Anolis sagrei: one gene and its partner. The protein of the gene in region 2 binds, or shares a complex with, the protein of the main gene of each other region. Links are inferred from orthologs where the notes say so. Each region holds a gene or a part of one and is shown on either strand. Other genes may lie near its edges.

Region 1 (7,961 bases), about 6.0 Mb from region 2:
ATGGATATTTCTTTTCTTTTGGAATGCCTGTACTTGGATACTATGGTTTCAAACTTTAAATCTTTGGCTATGCTTACTGCTTATTTTATTTTGATTTTACATGTTTTATGTTAAACTTCAATTGTTATGGTTTTTTTTATTTCTTTTGGCAAACATTTGTACTGTTTTGATTTTTGTTGTACATTCTATGCTGCTCGTGTTTGTATAGTTGTTGTCTTGTAAGCCGCCCCAAGTCCCTCTGGGGAGATGGGGTGGGAAACAAATAAAGTTATTATTATTATTTGTATATGCACACATAGCAGAAGGAAACACCTTTCAGACCAAATCCAAGTATAAACAGAAATGCATTTATATTTTATATACACATATTCTGAAGGTAATTTTATGCATTTTTTTTTAATAATTTGGTGCATGAAACAGTTTGTGTACACTGAACCATCAAGAACCATCTTCTTCAGGAATGTTTAGCCTGAAGAAGAGAAGGCTGAGAGGAGACATGATAGCCATGTATAAATATTTGAGGAAGTCATAGGGAGGTGGGAGCAAGCTTGTTTTCTGCTGCCCTGGAGACTAGGAAGCGGAACAATGGCTTCAAACTACAAGAAAGGAGATTCCATCAGAACATGAGGAAGAACTTCCTGACTGTGAGAGCCGTTCAGCAGTGGAACTCTCTGCCCCGAAGTGTGGTGGAGGCTCCTTCTTTGGAAGCTTTCAAACAGGGGCTGGATGGCCATCTGTGAGGGGTGCTTTGAATGCAATTTTCCTGCTTCTTGGCAGGGGGTTGGACTGGATGGCCCAAATTCTATGAAAGGAAAGGTGTCACTTTCCCAGCCGAAGGACTTTGGAGTGGATTGTTGTAGGTTTTTCGGGCTGTATGGCCATGTTCTCTCCTGACATTTTGCCTGCATCTGTGGAAAGCATCCTCAGAGGTTGTGAGGTTTGTTGGAAACTAGGAACATTGGGTTTATATATCTATGGAAGGTCCAGGGTGGGAGAAAAAACTCTTGTCTGTTGGAGGTAGATGTGAATGTTCAAATTGGCCACCTTGATTAGCATTTGATGGCCTGACAGTTTTTAGCCAAGCACATACAACCCAGTGATTCCAGCCATGAAAGCCTTCGACAAGACTTTGGAGTATTTGGGATTTCAGGATAATGAATGCTAAACCTGTAATAACATAGCAAACTTGGGCTCTCTAGGTGTTTTAGACTTCAACTTCCTACTGGCTGTTAGGAATTGTGGGAGCTGAAATCCAAAACACCTAGAATCATAGAATCAAAGAGTTGGAAGAGACCTCATGGGCCATCCAGTCCAACCCCCTGCCAAGAAGCAGGAATGCTGCAATCAAATCACCCCTGACAGATGGCCATCCAGCCTCTGTTTAAAAGCTTCCAAAGAAGGAGCCTCCACCACACTCTGGGGCAGAGAGTTCCACTGCTGAACAGCTCTCACAGTCAGGAAGTTCTTCCTCGTGTTCAGATGGAATTTCTTCTCTTGTAGTTTGAAGCCATTGTCCACGTCCTAGTCTCCAAGGAAGCACAAAACAAGCTTGCTCCCTCCTCCCTGTGTCTTCCTCTCACATATTTATACATAGCTATCATATCTCCTCGCAGCCTTTTCTTCTTCAGGCTAAACATGCCCAGCTCCTTAAGCCGCTCCTCATAGGGCTTGTTCTCCAGACCCTTGATCATTTTAGTCGCCCTCCTCTGGACACATTCCAGCTTGTCAATATCTCTCTTGAGGTCCCCAGTTTGCCCATGCCTGTACCTACAAGATAAAATGCAGCCTGCAATAAAATATGGGGCATTGTGTTTCTGCCACAACACTTGTAAACAATACACACACATGAGATCAATGTGACTCTGAAATAAAGGAATATGAGGAGGAGAAAGAAGGGAAGGGAAACTGACTTGATAGACCAGGCCTGGGCCAACTTGGGCCCTCCAGTAGGATGTTAGAAATTGTGGGAGTTGAAGTCCAAAACACCTGGAGGGCCCAAGTTTGCTCAGGCCTATATCAACAAGATAAAATGCAGCCTACAATAAACATGGGGCATTGTGTTTCTGCCATAACACTTGTAAACAATACACAAACATGAGATCAATGTGACTCTGAAAGAAAGGAATATGAGAAGGAGAAAGACGGGAAGGGAAATTGACTTGATAGACCAGGCCTGGGACAACTTGGGCCCTTCAGTAGGATGTTAGAAATTGTGGGAGTTGAAGTCCAAAACACCTGGAGGGCCCAAGTTTGCTCAGGCCTGTATCGACAAGATAAACTGCAGCCTGTAATAAATATGGGGCATTGTATTTCTGCCATAACACTTGTAAACAATACACAAACATAAGATCAATGTGACTCTGAAAGAAAGGAATATGAGAAGGAGAAAGAAGGGAAGGGAAACTGACTTGATAGAGCAGGCCTGGGCCAACTTGGGCCCTCCAGTAGGATGTTAGAAATTGTGGGAGTTCAAGTCCAAAACACCTGGAGGGCCGAAGTTTGCTCAGGCCTGTATCAACAAGATAAAATGCAGCCTGCAATAAATATGGGGCATTGTGTTTCTGCCATAACACTTGTAAACAATACACAAACATGAGATCAAAGTGACTCTGAAGGAAAGGAATATGAACAAGTGGAGAAAGAGAAAGACAGGAAGGGCAACTGACATGATAGACCAGGCCTTGGCCTAACTTGGGCCCCCCAGGTGTTTTGGACTTCAACTCCCACAATTCCTAACAGCCTACTGGAAGGCCCCAGTTGGCCCAGGCCTGGTTGAGACCCTGCCTGGCTTAGTCCCGGAGCCCATCCATCACTGGGGAAGGCGAGGCCTGGCTTGAGAGGCCAACCAGGGCCCTGCAGCCGCCGGTACCTTGGTGAGGTCGATGCCCGAACCCACGAGTGGCAGCCCGTCCTCGTCCATCCCCGCAGGCGCTCATCGGCCCCTCCTCCAGCGGAAGAGCGCCTCGAGAAGCGAAAGAGCCTCTTCCCGGAAGCGATCGCGAGATCACCCTCCACCCTGACCCGGCTCATCGGCATTTCAGGCGCTTGGGCTGCGAGACCGGAAGCCGCCGCTCTCTGAGCCGCGTTGCATCATGGGGACTGTAGTTCTGACACCCGGAAGTCTCTAGGAAAGTAGTTTTCAAATACATATGGATTCCATCTGCCTCGTTTTCCTTGAGGTGATCTGCAGAACGCGCTCTGGAGTTGTGCCTGAGGGCATGTCCACATAACCCAGAATATCAAGGCAGAAAATCCCACAGTATCTGCTTTGAACTGGGTTATCTGAGTCCACACTGCCATATATTCCAGTCCAAAGCAGAAAATGTGGGATTTTATTCAGCTGTGTGGAAGGGGCCTGAGTTACTTTAATTATATTTCAGTGTGTACCTATCTGTATATGAACTTATATGGGGATGTCAGTGAATATTTGTATTCTTTGGAAATATATTTTTGTGTTTGAATATTCCAAATTTGTGTGTGTGTGTGTGTGTACACATACACACAGTATATCCCAATTAAACATAATTATGTACTATATGCAGCAAAGCCTAGAGAAGACTATTATGCTGGGGAAAGTGGAAGGAAAAAGGAAGAGGGGCCGACCAAGGGCAAGATGGATGGATGGCATCCTTGAAGTGACTGGACTGACCTTGAAGGAGCTGGGGGTGGTGACGGCCGACAGGGAGCTCTGGCGTGGGCTGGTCCATGAGGTCACGAAGAGTCGGAGACAACTGAACGAATGAACAACAACATGTACTATATGCATATAGTTACCCATAATTATATTTCAGTGTGTGCCTGTCTGTGTGTGAACAACAAATAGTGTGTGAACAACTAATGCAGACGTCTATGATAATGATTGTTTTTGACTTGATATGTTTGTATAATGTGTTTTTAATTGCCTTTTTGATGTTGTTGTGTTAACCTTTACTATGTAAACCGCCTTGAGTCGCCATTTCGGCTGAGAAAGGCGGTATAGAAGTAAAGCAAATAAATAAATAAATTTGTGTGTATACATACGGGCGTATGTATATGTGTGTGTGAGATTGAGAGAGAACAATATATAATACTAATAGTATAATAATGGTAGTGTATTATGTGCTGGCACAACAGTGCCAGGAGATTTGAATTCCTTTTCTTGCACTGCTAGTTTGCATGAATTTATTTAAGCCATGCATTTTGCAATAAGGTAGCTTCCCTCAGGTTGCAATCATAGGGCCAGCAACCTGAAAAATCATTGTTAATCTTTAGACCCGCCCCTTTTCCCATGGTTTTGGAGGGAAGGGGGGATTTTGTTCAGTCTCACTGTTTGAAGCCTAAAAGCAGAACGTGTGGGATTCTTTTTCCCACCTGCACAAAAGCTTCACTTCTCACAGCTTTGCTGGGGGAAAAAGAAAGGTTCCACAGCTTTTGCTGGGGAGTAAAGAAATAGATCCACAGCTCTGCTGGGGGAAAAGGAAAGGTTCCACAGCTTTTGCTGAAGGAATACAGCCAGCCTTTGCTGGGGCAACAGGACAGTTCCTACAGCCTTCGTGTAGAAACTAAAGGACACCTTTCAGCTTGGCAGATCTACAGCCTAGCATTGATGTCTATAACCTCAATAGAACTTTGTGTTGGGAAATTTAAGGGACCCTTCAGCTGAGGCACCCCGGCGTCCCGTTGAGCATACAGAAGGCACGTCCTGTAAACAGACATTATTTCAGGCCCAGCATGCGACAGCACATATTATATATATTGTGGTATACTAATAATATTGCAGTATAGTGGTATAGTACCATATGGCAGTATATAATACTAATGTGCAATGCTAATAATATAATATATTTTATATAATAATATAATACAATGTAATATACTCCTAATACAATATCATATATTGTAATATAGTAGTAATAATAATAATAATAATAATAATAATAATAATAAACCTTTATTTATACCCCGTGACCATTTCCCGCAGGACTCGGTGCGGCTTACAAGAGGCCAAGCCCAAATACATCACAAAACACAACAACAATACAACAATAAATAACTCATAACAAAGCAAAACAATACAATAATGACACGACACAATTAAAAACCTGTGGTAGGGCCAAATGTAAGAATTAAAATTTTAAAATGCTGGGCATGTCCAGGGAAATAGGTTGGATATTTTAAAGATAGGTGGGCGTGCAGACAGTACTAACTCTCTCATAAAGTGCATTTGGAACATATTGCTTGGGAGTCCTTGTTCTGGGAAGGCATATAATAACAATATATTAATTATAATTACTACTGATAATATAAAACAATATATAATGATACAGTTTTATTTTTGTATATTTTTGTAATATTTTTGATTGTGAGTTGCTTTGAGTCTCCCATCTGGAGAGATAAAGTGGGATGAAATGAAAGTATCTCTGTAACTCATGAAGCTGCCACCAATTATGTAGAGCAGTGTTTCTCAACCTGGGGGTCGGGACCCCTCTGTGGGTCGCGAGAGAGTGTCAGAGGGGTCGCCAAAAACCATTAGAAAACATAGTATTTTCTGTTGGTCATGGGAGTTCTGTGTGGGAAGTTTGGCCCAATTCTGTCCTTGGTGGAGAACAGAATACTCTGATTGTAGGTGAACTATAAATCCCAACAACTACAACTCCCAAATGTAAAGGTCTATATTCCCCAAACTCCACCAGTATTCACATTTGGGCATATTGAGTATTTGTGTCAAGTTTGGTCCAGATCCATCATTGTTTGAGTGCACAGTGCTCTCTAGATGTAGATGAACTACAACTCCAAAACTCAAGGTCAATGCCCAGCAAACCCTTCCCATATTTTCTGTTGTTCATGGGAGGTGTGTGTTCCAAATCTGGTTCAATTCTGTTGTTGGTGGATTTCAGAATGCTCTTTGATTGGAGGTGAACTATCCCAGCAACTACAACTCCCAAATGACAAAATCAATCCTCTCCACAATCCCACCAGTATTCAAATTTGGTTGTATTATTGTATATTTGTGCCCAGTTTGGTCCCGTGAATGCAAATATATCCTGCATATCGGATGTTTACATTAGGATTCATAATAGGAGCACAATTACAGTTGTGAAGTAACAACGAAAATAATGTCATGGTTGGGGGTCACCACAACATAAGGAACAGTATTAAGGGGTCGCAGCATTAGGAAGGTTGAGAAACACTGATGTAGAGGATGAGGCTTTGTTTATTTGGGGGTGAGGCTTATATGAGAGGGATATTTCTAAGACACCTGTTTATTTCACTTTAGTATGTGTAATCCAATGCAACCAGTTTATCTTTGACTTCACAAAATCTGCAACTTCTTTTCTTTTGAGTAATCTTCTCTTAAATAAATAAACCTGAATTCTCAGAATCTGAACTGAATATAAACATTTGTTTGAAGATTTCTCAGGTTCACAATGCTTGGCGGTTACATATTATCTTATTATTGTTACACTTAATTCTTGACTCTTCCAAAAACATATAACTGTTACACTTTTAACAACAGATTTTCTTCTGTCTCTTTAGTATCTGCAGTTTAGACTTATAAACTATTCTCAGTCTCACTCCTGTTACTTCAGATTTGGCTTTTACTCTTAACTACTCCACACTGGAGAACAAATACCTGGCTCACTACTTAGTGCAGCCTTTCTTTCCCTGACTACCTGTTAGAGCTTAAACTGTTTGGTCTAGTTCCACATAATTATAAGCAACCATCCTTTGGGCTCATCCAGCCACCAACTGACCCTTTTCAAATCAACATTCTTTTTTTTCAGTGGCAGTTGGCTCCGGCCCTTGCTCTCTTGCCTGGGGAGTTATGTCACCATGGCCTGGGCTTCTAGCCACCCCCTAACTAACCAGCCCATATATCCCAATATTAATAAACATACCCCAAAACCTAGACATTTCGCTACACGGGATATAAATAAATGAATTATATGCAAGCACATACACACAGCTAGCTTCCAACTGCTGAGGCCAGGCAACAAACTGCCACAAAAGCACATGAAAAACCCCTTAATGTGCATCAGTTCTGTGTGGCTTTTGTAATCACCATCTGGGTCTTAAACTGGTTCTGAAATTTTGTATGCACTTTCTTCAATATCAGTTTGAAGCTGCACTAAATGTTCAGTTCATATGTGGCTCAGGGAGTAAAATTAATGTGATTCAGTGTCCCTTTAACTACCATGGCTCCGTGCTGTGTGGAATCACGGAGGGCGTTATTTTAAAAGCTCTTTAGTTTTCTTTGAGAACAGTGCTGGTGCCTCACCAAACTGCAACTCCCAGGATTCCATAGCATTGATCCATGGCAGCTAAAGTGGTGCCCAACTGCATAAGTGCTAGTGCAAATACACCCAGAGAGACCGGGAAAAACTGTAATAGAGGAGGACAGTCAGCTAGGGTGAAGAACAGAATAGAGTTATTGGGAGCTGTGAATAATTGAACACTACAGGAGTTATTGCGCGATCTAAGTATGTCCTAATAAACTTCTGCTAATTCATTCTCTTTTTTAAACAACTGTGGCTGTTACTATCAAATTTAGATAGACTATGTGATTATACTTACCACTGTGAATTCATGGAACACATATTGTTCCATATAAATATGACCTTAAGGCCCAAGTACCTAGTTCAAGGAGGGATCTTGATTGACGGTAAAATGGTGAAGATGACCAATGTAAGCTTAAGGTTTAGCACTGTGAGGCAAGTCTGGAAAGAAGCTCCATCACAGCTCCTCATCCCCTTTGCAGAGAAACCTTTCTGACTAGCCCAAAGGCAAACCCACTCTAAACAAATCTTGCAGAGACAACCCCATGATAGGGTTGCCTTAAGGTCATCATATTTAGAGTCAGCATATGTTTCCAAGAACATGAACAAACATGATATACACAAACAAAAATTACTATCCCTTTCAAGGGCAAAAATTACTACCCCTTTCAAGGAAAGAAGTACAGCTATTGTTGGCATGGAATT
Region 2 (8,038 bases):
TCCCTTCCTTTCTTTGAGACCGGGCAGTGGCAGTTGGATAGAGGTACGGCTTATCAACTGCTTCTGGGAATAGCTGTGATGGAACTATAGATGTCTCTCCATTCATGGCTATGGCAGTGGCAGCTGGGATGGAGGGAGGACCTTTCTTCTGCTTCTGCCTCTCCCTTTCTCTCTCTGAGGCCTCAGCAGAAGTTGGGATGGAAGAAGGACTTTTCATCTCTTTTTGGGCCAAAATACGATGGGATTGTGCTTGGCTCTTCTTATCTCCCTTGAGGCCAAGGCAGGAGAGTTGAGATAGAGGGAGAGACCATTCATCTCCTTTTGGGATAAGGCATGATGAAGATGTGCCTGTGGATTATCTTGGATCAGCGACTGCATATGAGCCTAGCCTCTTCCATAAAGATGAAAAAAATGTCAAGGAACCCTTTCTTAAGGTGCTTAGAGAGAAAAGGGCAGAATAAACAAGTAATAAATAAACCAAACTATTGCTGGATCTTTGCGCAGCAATTTAATATCAAGCCACAAATGACAGAACCTACAATAATATTATTAATAGAAAAATACTGAGGTTGCACACCATTCAACATTTCTCAGATGAAAATGGGATTTATGTGGCTGAATAACTTCAGATTGTGTCAAGCTAGTGAAAGGTAAGAAAAAGGAAGAACACACAAGCTAGGATCAACCTGTAATAGTTTGCCTTCCCTGAGTCTTCAGGGAAGGGCAGGATTCTGCCCACATCTCTCTTCTCCACCTGCTGAGTGAACTGAGAGTAAACTACTTTTCAATGTTGTATTCGGTTTGTAGCAAATGAAGAAAGTTGAAGGAAGGGAGAAGTAGAAAGAAACTGGGACGTTTTAAAAGATTCTGAAAAAATGAGATGACACAGGATTAATTTTAACTGTCCTTGCTAAATGGGGACAGTCGAGGGATATGAGACTGATTCGCATAAAAAAAACTTTTTTAGTGCATGTACAATGTAGAAATGGTGTGAATCTCAGTGTCTGTTTCACTGAGTATAAAACTTGTGGAAACCACATTTGGTTCCTATTTTTGCCACAGTTTGTGTAATGCCCTCTCACTTGGAGGACAGAGGACTGCTGGTGTTGACTTAAAAAATAAAACATTATTAAATGTATCTTTTCCAACATGTACATGTGCCCAATTTTAAACTGCTTTAATTTTTTAAACTGTTTTAAGTTGTTAAATTGTTTAACATGCTTCATGTTAATTTAAATTACCTTTTTGTTTTAAGTTCTGCACTGTTTCAAATGGCTTACATGGTTTTTCCTTGCACGCCAGCCTGAGGTTCAGTGATACAAGGCCAGATAAAATAGTTCAATAACACAAATAAAGAAGTACACGCACCTCTCTGATTTGTCCTTCTGGAATTATGGTGACCAGCCCTATATCAAAATAGAATAGATGAGTCATTGCAGTCTAATCCTACCAAAAATGGGATAAGCTTTGAGCCATGACATATATTTATTATCCACTACTACTTTGACATCTTTTTTTCAGATGCTGCCAAACTAATTATGGTTTGTTGTGTACTTATGCATCTTGTTATTTTTAAGTATAACACAAATCATCATTGATAAATTAAACCATGTAGCTATCGGTTCAGTGCTCCAGTTTAATGATATCATTCTGGGTTATACTTCAAATAACTCTTCCATAATGAAAAATGACCAGCTTCAAGTACAAATTGGCACTGCTCCACAAAGCAACCCTTTAATTCTTAGATCCCTACCATTTATAAAAGTTAAAGGTTTCCCCTGGCATTAAGTCTAATCACATTCGACTCGGGAGTTGGTGCTCATCTCCATTTCTAAGCCAAAGAGCTGGCATTGTCCGTAGACACCTCCAAGGTCATGTGGCCAGCATGACTGCAGGGAACACCATTATATGCCGGCAAGAGAAAGCTTAAACATAGGATTCACCAGGTCCATACATAAACTGTGAACTCATAGGCCCTGTCCACACTGCCATATAATTCAGTTTGAATTGCATTATATGGCAGTGAAGACAGCCATATTACACAGTTCAATTGCATTATATAGCAGTGTTGATGTGGCCATTGCTATCTCATAGCAGCAAAGACTAGTTAAACATTCAGGAAAAGCAATGAGTAACAAAGTACTTAAAATGCATTCTGAAATCAAACATAATCTCCAACATGTCACAGATGCAAACTGGGACAGATATGATCCAGAATATGTGGTCTAGATAGCAAAAGTTAATGAATAAATACAAATGAGCTAGGATAGGTTGCAGCAGTTTACTTTTGCCATTGCTCTTTCTGAGCTGGTCGCAAACTGCTTTTGGACTTTGCACTCCGTTTGTGGCCATTGAAGTAAGCTGAGGACAAAGGAGGGGAGTGGTTGTCTTGCTTGCATGCTGCAAGTTGCCTCTAGTCGCTTCTGGGGTGAGAGAATCAGCCGTCTACGAAGACGTTGCCCAGGGGACGCCCGGATGTCTTGCAATCCTGCGAGGAGGCTTCTCTCATGTCCCCCAGAAGGGGAGTGAAAGGAGGTGAGAAAAACTGGGACACTTTTAAAACAGCTGAAAACATATAAGGACAGAGGACTACATGGGACTCTCCTTGCCAAAGTGGAACAGTTGGAGAGCATAAACTAAAGCTGAAATGGATTACATCACTAAACACTGATATGTATCCTTTCTAGCAAAAAAAATCATCATATTATCTGTTGTCGAAGGCTTTCGTGGCCAGAATCATCGGGTTGCTGTGAGTTTTCTGGGCTATATGGCCATATTCCAGAAACATTGTCTCTTGACGTTTCACCCACATCTATGGCAGGCATCCTCTGAGGTTGTGAGGTCTGTTGGAAACTAGGCAAGTGAGATTTATATATTTGTGGAATGTCCAGGGTGGGAGAAAGAACTCTTGTCTGGGTTGATGTAGTTTTTTCCGGGCTATATGGCCATGTTCTAGTGGCATTTTCTCCTGACGTTTCGCCTGCATCTATGGCAAGCATCCTCAGAGGTAGTGAGGTCTGTTGGAATTAGGACAATGGGTTTATATATCTGTGGAATGACCAGGGTGGGACGAAGGACTTTTGTCTGCTGGAGTTAGGTTTGAATGTTTCAACTGACCACCTTGATTAGCATTTAATGGCTTGGAAGTGCCTGGGGGGATCTTTTGTTGAGTGGTGATTTGATGTGCCTGATTGTTTACTCTCTGTTGTTTTGCTGTTGTAATTTTAGAGTTTTTTAATACTGGTAGCCAGATTTTGTTCATTTTCATGGTTTCTTCCTTTCTGTTGAAATTGTCCACATGCTTGTGTATTTCAATGGCTTCTCTGTGTAGTCTGACATGGTGGTTGTGAGGGTGGTCCAGCACTTCTGTGTTCTCAAATAATATGCTGTGTCCAGGTTGGTTCATCAGGTGCTCTGCTATGGCTGACTTCTCTGGTTGGAGTAGTCTGCAGTGCCTTTCATGTTCCTTGATTCGTGTTTGGGCAGTGCTGCGTTTGGTGGTCCCTATGTAGACTTGTCCACAGCTGCATGGAATACGGTAGACTCCTGCAGAGGTGAGAGGATCCCTCTTGTCCTTTGCTGAACGTAGCATTTGTTGGATGTTCTTGGTGGGTCTGTAGGTGGTTTGTATGTTGTGTTTCCTCATCAGCTTCCCTATGCGGTCAGTGGTTCCCTTGATGTATAGCAAGAACACTTTTCTTCTGGGTGGATCTTCATCTTTACTCTTGTAGCTGATGGGAAGCTGATGAGGAAACACAACATACAAACCACCTACAGACCAAGAAAACCCAAAATCTGGCTACCAGTATTAAAAAACTGATTCTGGCCATGAAAGCCTTCGACAATACACTGAACTCTTGTCTGTTGGAGGCCGATGTGAATGTTGCAGTTGGCCAACTTGATTAACCTTGAATAGCCTTGCAGCTCCAAAACCTGCTGTCAAGCCAGGCATCCCCCATTCTGTATCTTCTATCTATCTATCTATCTATCTATCTATCTATGTATTGCTGATTAGATATCTTGGTATAAGCAAGACTTGACTCTGAAGAAGCTGGGGGTGGCGACGGCCAACAGGGAGCTCTGGCGTGGGCTGGTCCATGAGTTCATGAAGAGTTGGAAGCAACTAAACGATTAAACATCTTGCTATAACCAAGACTTGACTTGACTCTGAAGGAGCTGAGGGTGGCGACGGCCAACAGGGAGCTCTGGCGTGGGCTGGTCCATGAGTTCATGAAGAGTTGGAAGCAACTGAACGATTAAACATCTTGCTATAACCAAGACTTGACTCTGAAGGAGCTGGGGGTGGCGACGGCCAACAGGGAGCTCTGGCGTGGGCTGGTCCATGAGTTCATGAAGAGTTGGAAGCAACTGAACGATTAAACATATTGCTATAACCAAGACTTGACTCTGAAGGAGCTGGGGGTGGCGACGGCCATCAGGGAGCTCTGGCGTGGGCTGGTCCATGAGGTCATGAAGAGTCAGAAGCAACTGAACGATTAAACATCTTGCTATAAGCAAGACTTGACTTGACTCTGAAGGAGCTGGGGGTGGCGACGGCCAACAGGGAGCTCTGGCGTGGGCTGGTCCATGAGTTCATGAAGAGTTGGAAGCCACTGAACGAATAAACAACAACGAAAGGACAATCCTCGTTGGCATACACTGTGTTTCCAATTCCCAACCCCCAAACCAACCCTTTCTATAGTATTTTCTGGCATCTACAAATTGAAGAAGGGAGTTAAGAGTCCATTAAAGTTTTCACAACTCAGTAGAGGCAATCCTATTGTAGACTTCTCCAAGGACAAATCCCACTGAACTCAAAGCAGAGCTGAGTACATGTGAAACTCCCTACAACCAGCAAGCAACGGGCTGGCAACGAGTGGGGAATACGTTCCCTTTCTGAGCATAGGGAGGACCCGTAGGAAAGTGACGTCAAGCGAGGGCGGAAGTGGGCGTCATGCGGGAAGCTTTGCGGGCGGAAAGGGAGACGAGGTGTGGGCGGAAGTGCCGTTTCCTGGAGAGCGCCGTCGCCTTGGTTGCAAGGGGGGTTCGAGGTGCCGCCTCATTCCAGGTGAGAAGCAGGCGGGGATTCTTCCCTCTCTGACTTGGTTGCCTTCTTCCTTCCCAAAGGGAGAGCCGAGGCTTTCTTCTCCCTCAGAGCTTTGAGAAGAGGTGCATCTACACTGTAGAATGAATGCAGTTTGACACCACTTGAACTCCCATGGCTGAATGCTGTGGGGTCATGGGAATTGGAGTTTGGTGAGGCGCCAGCCCTCTTAGAGAAAGCAAAAGGCCTTGTAAAACTATTGCCACTTTTAACTGCTATGGCTCAAAGCTGTAGAGTTATGGGAGTTGTAGTTTTACAAGGTTTTTGGCCTTCTTTGGCAGAGAGTGCTGGTGCAGCACCAAACTTCAACTCCCCAAATTAACATGGCAGTTCAAGTGGTGTCAAACTGCATTAATATAGAGTGTAGATCAGTCATGAGCCAACTTGGGCCCTTTAGGTGTTTTGGACTTCAACTCCCACCATTCCTAACAGTCTCAGGCCTTTTCCTTTCCCCCCTCAGCCGCTTAAGGAAGAGGCCTGAGGCTGTTAGGAATGGCCACTTGGGAGTGCCTCTGGTGTTGCTGCAAAAAGGTCCTCCATAATGCATGTGACACTGGGCATGCATACTCAGCAGCAGAGTAGCATAGCGCAAGGGCAGATGTCTTCACTGTATCTGGTTGTGATCCCCAAGTTGTGCCAGTCAGCTTTCGTATGATATTATTTCAAGCACCCACTTTTTGCTTGATACTCAGGCAGTGCTTCTTGTAGGTCAGGGCATGGTCCAGAGTGACTCCCAGGTATTTGGGTGTGCTGCAATGCTCCAGTGGGATTCCTTCCCAGGTAATCCTCAGAGCTTGGGATGCTTGTCTGCTATTGAGGTGAAAAGCACATGTCTGTGTTTTAGATGGATTAGGGATCAGCTGGTTTTCCCTGTAATAGGCAGTAAGAGCACCTAGAGCTTCTGAGAGCCTTTGTTCAACCATTTCAAAGCTCCCTGCTTGAGCGGTAATGACACGATCATCTGCATAGATGAAACTCTCTGTCTCTTCTGGCAGTGGCTGGTCATTTGTGTAAATGATGAAGATTGATGGAGCAAGCACGCTCTATTGTTTCTAGTGATTTAATGTTATGTTTTATTTGGTTTGTATAATGAGACATTGAATTTTTGCTTAGATGCATGTTGTTAGTCACCTGCAGGTTGAGAAGGGCAGGATAGAAATGAATAATTTGTTTATTGCAGTGCTGACACATTAGCTATCAATTGGGGGGGGGGGGTGGCTGTAGATCTAATTTGTTATTCTGTATTGTTCTCACACCATGGTTGGGTTTGTGTGTTCATTCCTCTCCTTAGACAGGAAGCATTTCCTTCCATTGTCAGCTAACAGCAGTTTTGCATTGCGTCTTAACTTGACAAACTGCTTAGTTGTAATATCAACTTTACAAAACAAGCCAGAATTGGATTTCAGTTTCTGATGCTGTTGGTGTGTGTTAGTAAACTGTTGTTTTGATTCATTTGGAACGAGCCTGTAGTCATTTCGAATACTAACTGTGATTGGTTAAAAGGAGAATGCATGTTTCTGATCTTTTTGTGTCTATACTGGATTATGCAGGGAGATTTTAGTTTCACACCATCTGAGGATGCCTTCCATAGATGTGGGCAAAACACCAGAAGATAATGCTTCTGGAACATAGCCATACAGTCCAGAAAACTTGCAGCAACTCAAATTTTAGTTTGTTACATCCGAGCACTTCCAGAGAAGCTGTTTTGTAAAAAAAAAATAAAAAAAAAATACAGAACCCATGATAGGAAAGAAAGCTTGTGCAATAATAAGCCAATCAATTAATCATGAGTCATTAGTCCCGAGTTCAACTGAAAACATATCTCTTCATATAGGATCTGAGCATATTGTAAGCTACGCCTCTTAAAGTCTGTGAGCCACATATTCTGTGAGAGAGAGGAGGTCCATGGACTGGTGCCAGTCTATATCCTATCCACTGCTGGTTCACAGTTAATTTCCAAGAAAGAAAGGAGGAGGCGTTGTCATGTGGTGCCATGTGATGCTAGTCCCACACATTAAGCAATACAGAGAGCACTGCTATAGGATACTAGCACATTCCCTTATTTCAGAGGAATCCTAACACGAAGCCCTTAATGTAGATGCAAATTAACTCTATCAAATCTTTCTGTATCAGCTATTTTAAATACAAGGCACCTCACAATTACCCCTTAGTTAGTTGGGAATGCACGTCATGCAACTCTGTGTCAGGATTGTACTGTCCTTCTCTAATGGCTTATGTACTTGATTAATCCTTCTAAATGTATCCAATTGGAGTGGTTTGGAACCACTCCCAGCTGGTGCTGTTTACACCTTTGGCTCTGCCTTTCATCTGTGGTCACTATGTTGAATGTGTAAATTAGTTTCCTCTACAGTGGATAGGAAGTGCAAAAAATCATACACGTTTTATATTCTATTTTTTAAAAATTTTTTGTTAATATAGACGTATGTTGGTAGTACGCATCTGCATGAAATGTCTGCCTATTTTATGGTGACACTGAGGGACAGTGGCTTTTAAAAGTTGTAACATTGCTGTATTGCTGTGGGAAAGGAAAAGAAACACCCAGAAATTAACAGAAATAGCCTCATAGAGTAACCCAGTTGGGAATGTATTTGAATGATCTTTTGATTTGGAACCACTGTTTGCAAGGCACTGATTTTAAGGTCTTCTACAACTGAAGACCAGTTGCGCAGTGGGTTAAACCACTGAGCTGCTGAACTTGCTGACTGGTAAGATTGGCAGTTCGAATCTGGGGAGCGGGGTAAGCTCCTGCTGTTAAGCCCAGCTTCTGCCGACCTAGCAGTTCAGAAACATGCAAATGTGAGTAGATCAATAGGTACCACTTTGACGTGAAGGTAATGGCACTCCATGCAGTCATGCTAGCCACATGACCTTAGAGATGTCTATGGACAATGCTGGCTATTCGGCTTAGAAATG

The links. Proteins that work in one complex are often made in the same cells at the same time.
Region 1: WASHC1 (region 2) and WASHC3 share a complex: the UniProt entries of both Homo sapiens proteins name them as parts of the WASH core complex. The link is inferred for Anolis sagrei from reciprocal best matches to the Homo sapiens genes WASHC1 and WASHC3.

What each region holds. Positions count from the first base shown.
Region 1 is NC_090025.1:171,511,071-171,519,031, reverse strand, and holds the start of WASHC3 (WASH complex subunit 3), read right to left. Parts: upstream 3,044-7,961; 5' UTR 2,921-3,043; coding exon 2,870-2,920; intron 1-2,869. UniProt on the Homo sapiens protein: Acts as a component of the WASH core complex that functions as a nucleation-promoting factor (NPF) at the surface of endosomes, where it recruits and activates the Arp2/3 complex to induce actin polymerization, playing a key role in the fission of tubules that serve as transport intermediates during endosome sorting.
Region 2 is NC_090025.1:177,533,658-177,541,695, reverse strand, and holds the start of WASHC1 (WASH complex subunit 1), read left to right. Parts: upstream 1-4,952; 5' UTR 4,953-5,068; intron 5,069-8,038. UniProt on the Homo sapiens protein: Acts as a component of the WASH core complex that functions as a nucleation-promoting factor (NPF) at the surface of endosomes, where it recruits and activates the Arp2/3 complex to induce actin polymerization, playing a key role in the fission of tubules that serve as transport intermediates during endosome sorting.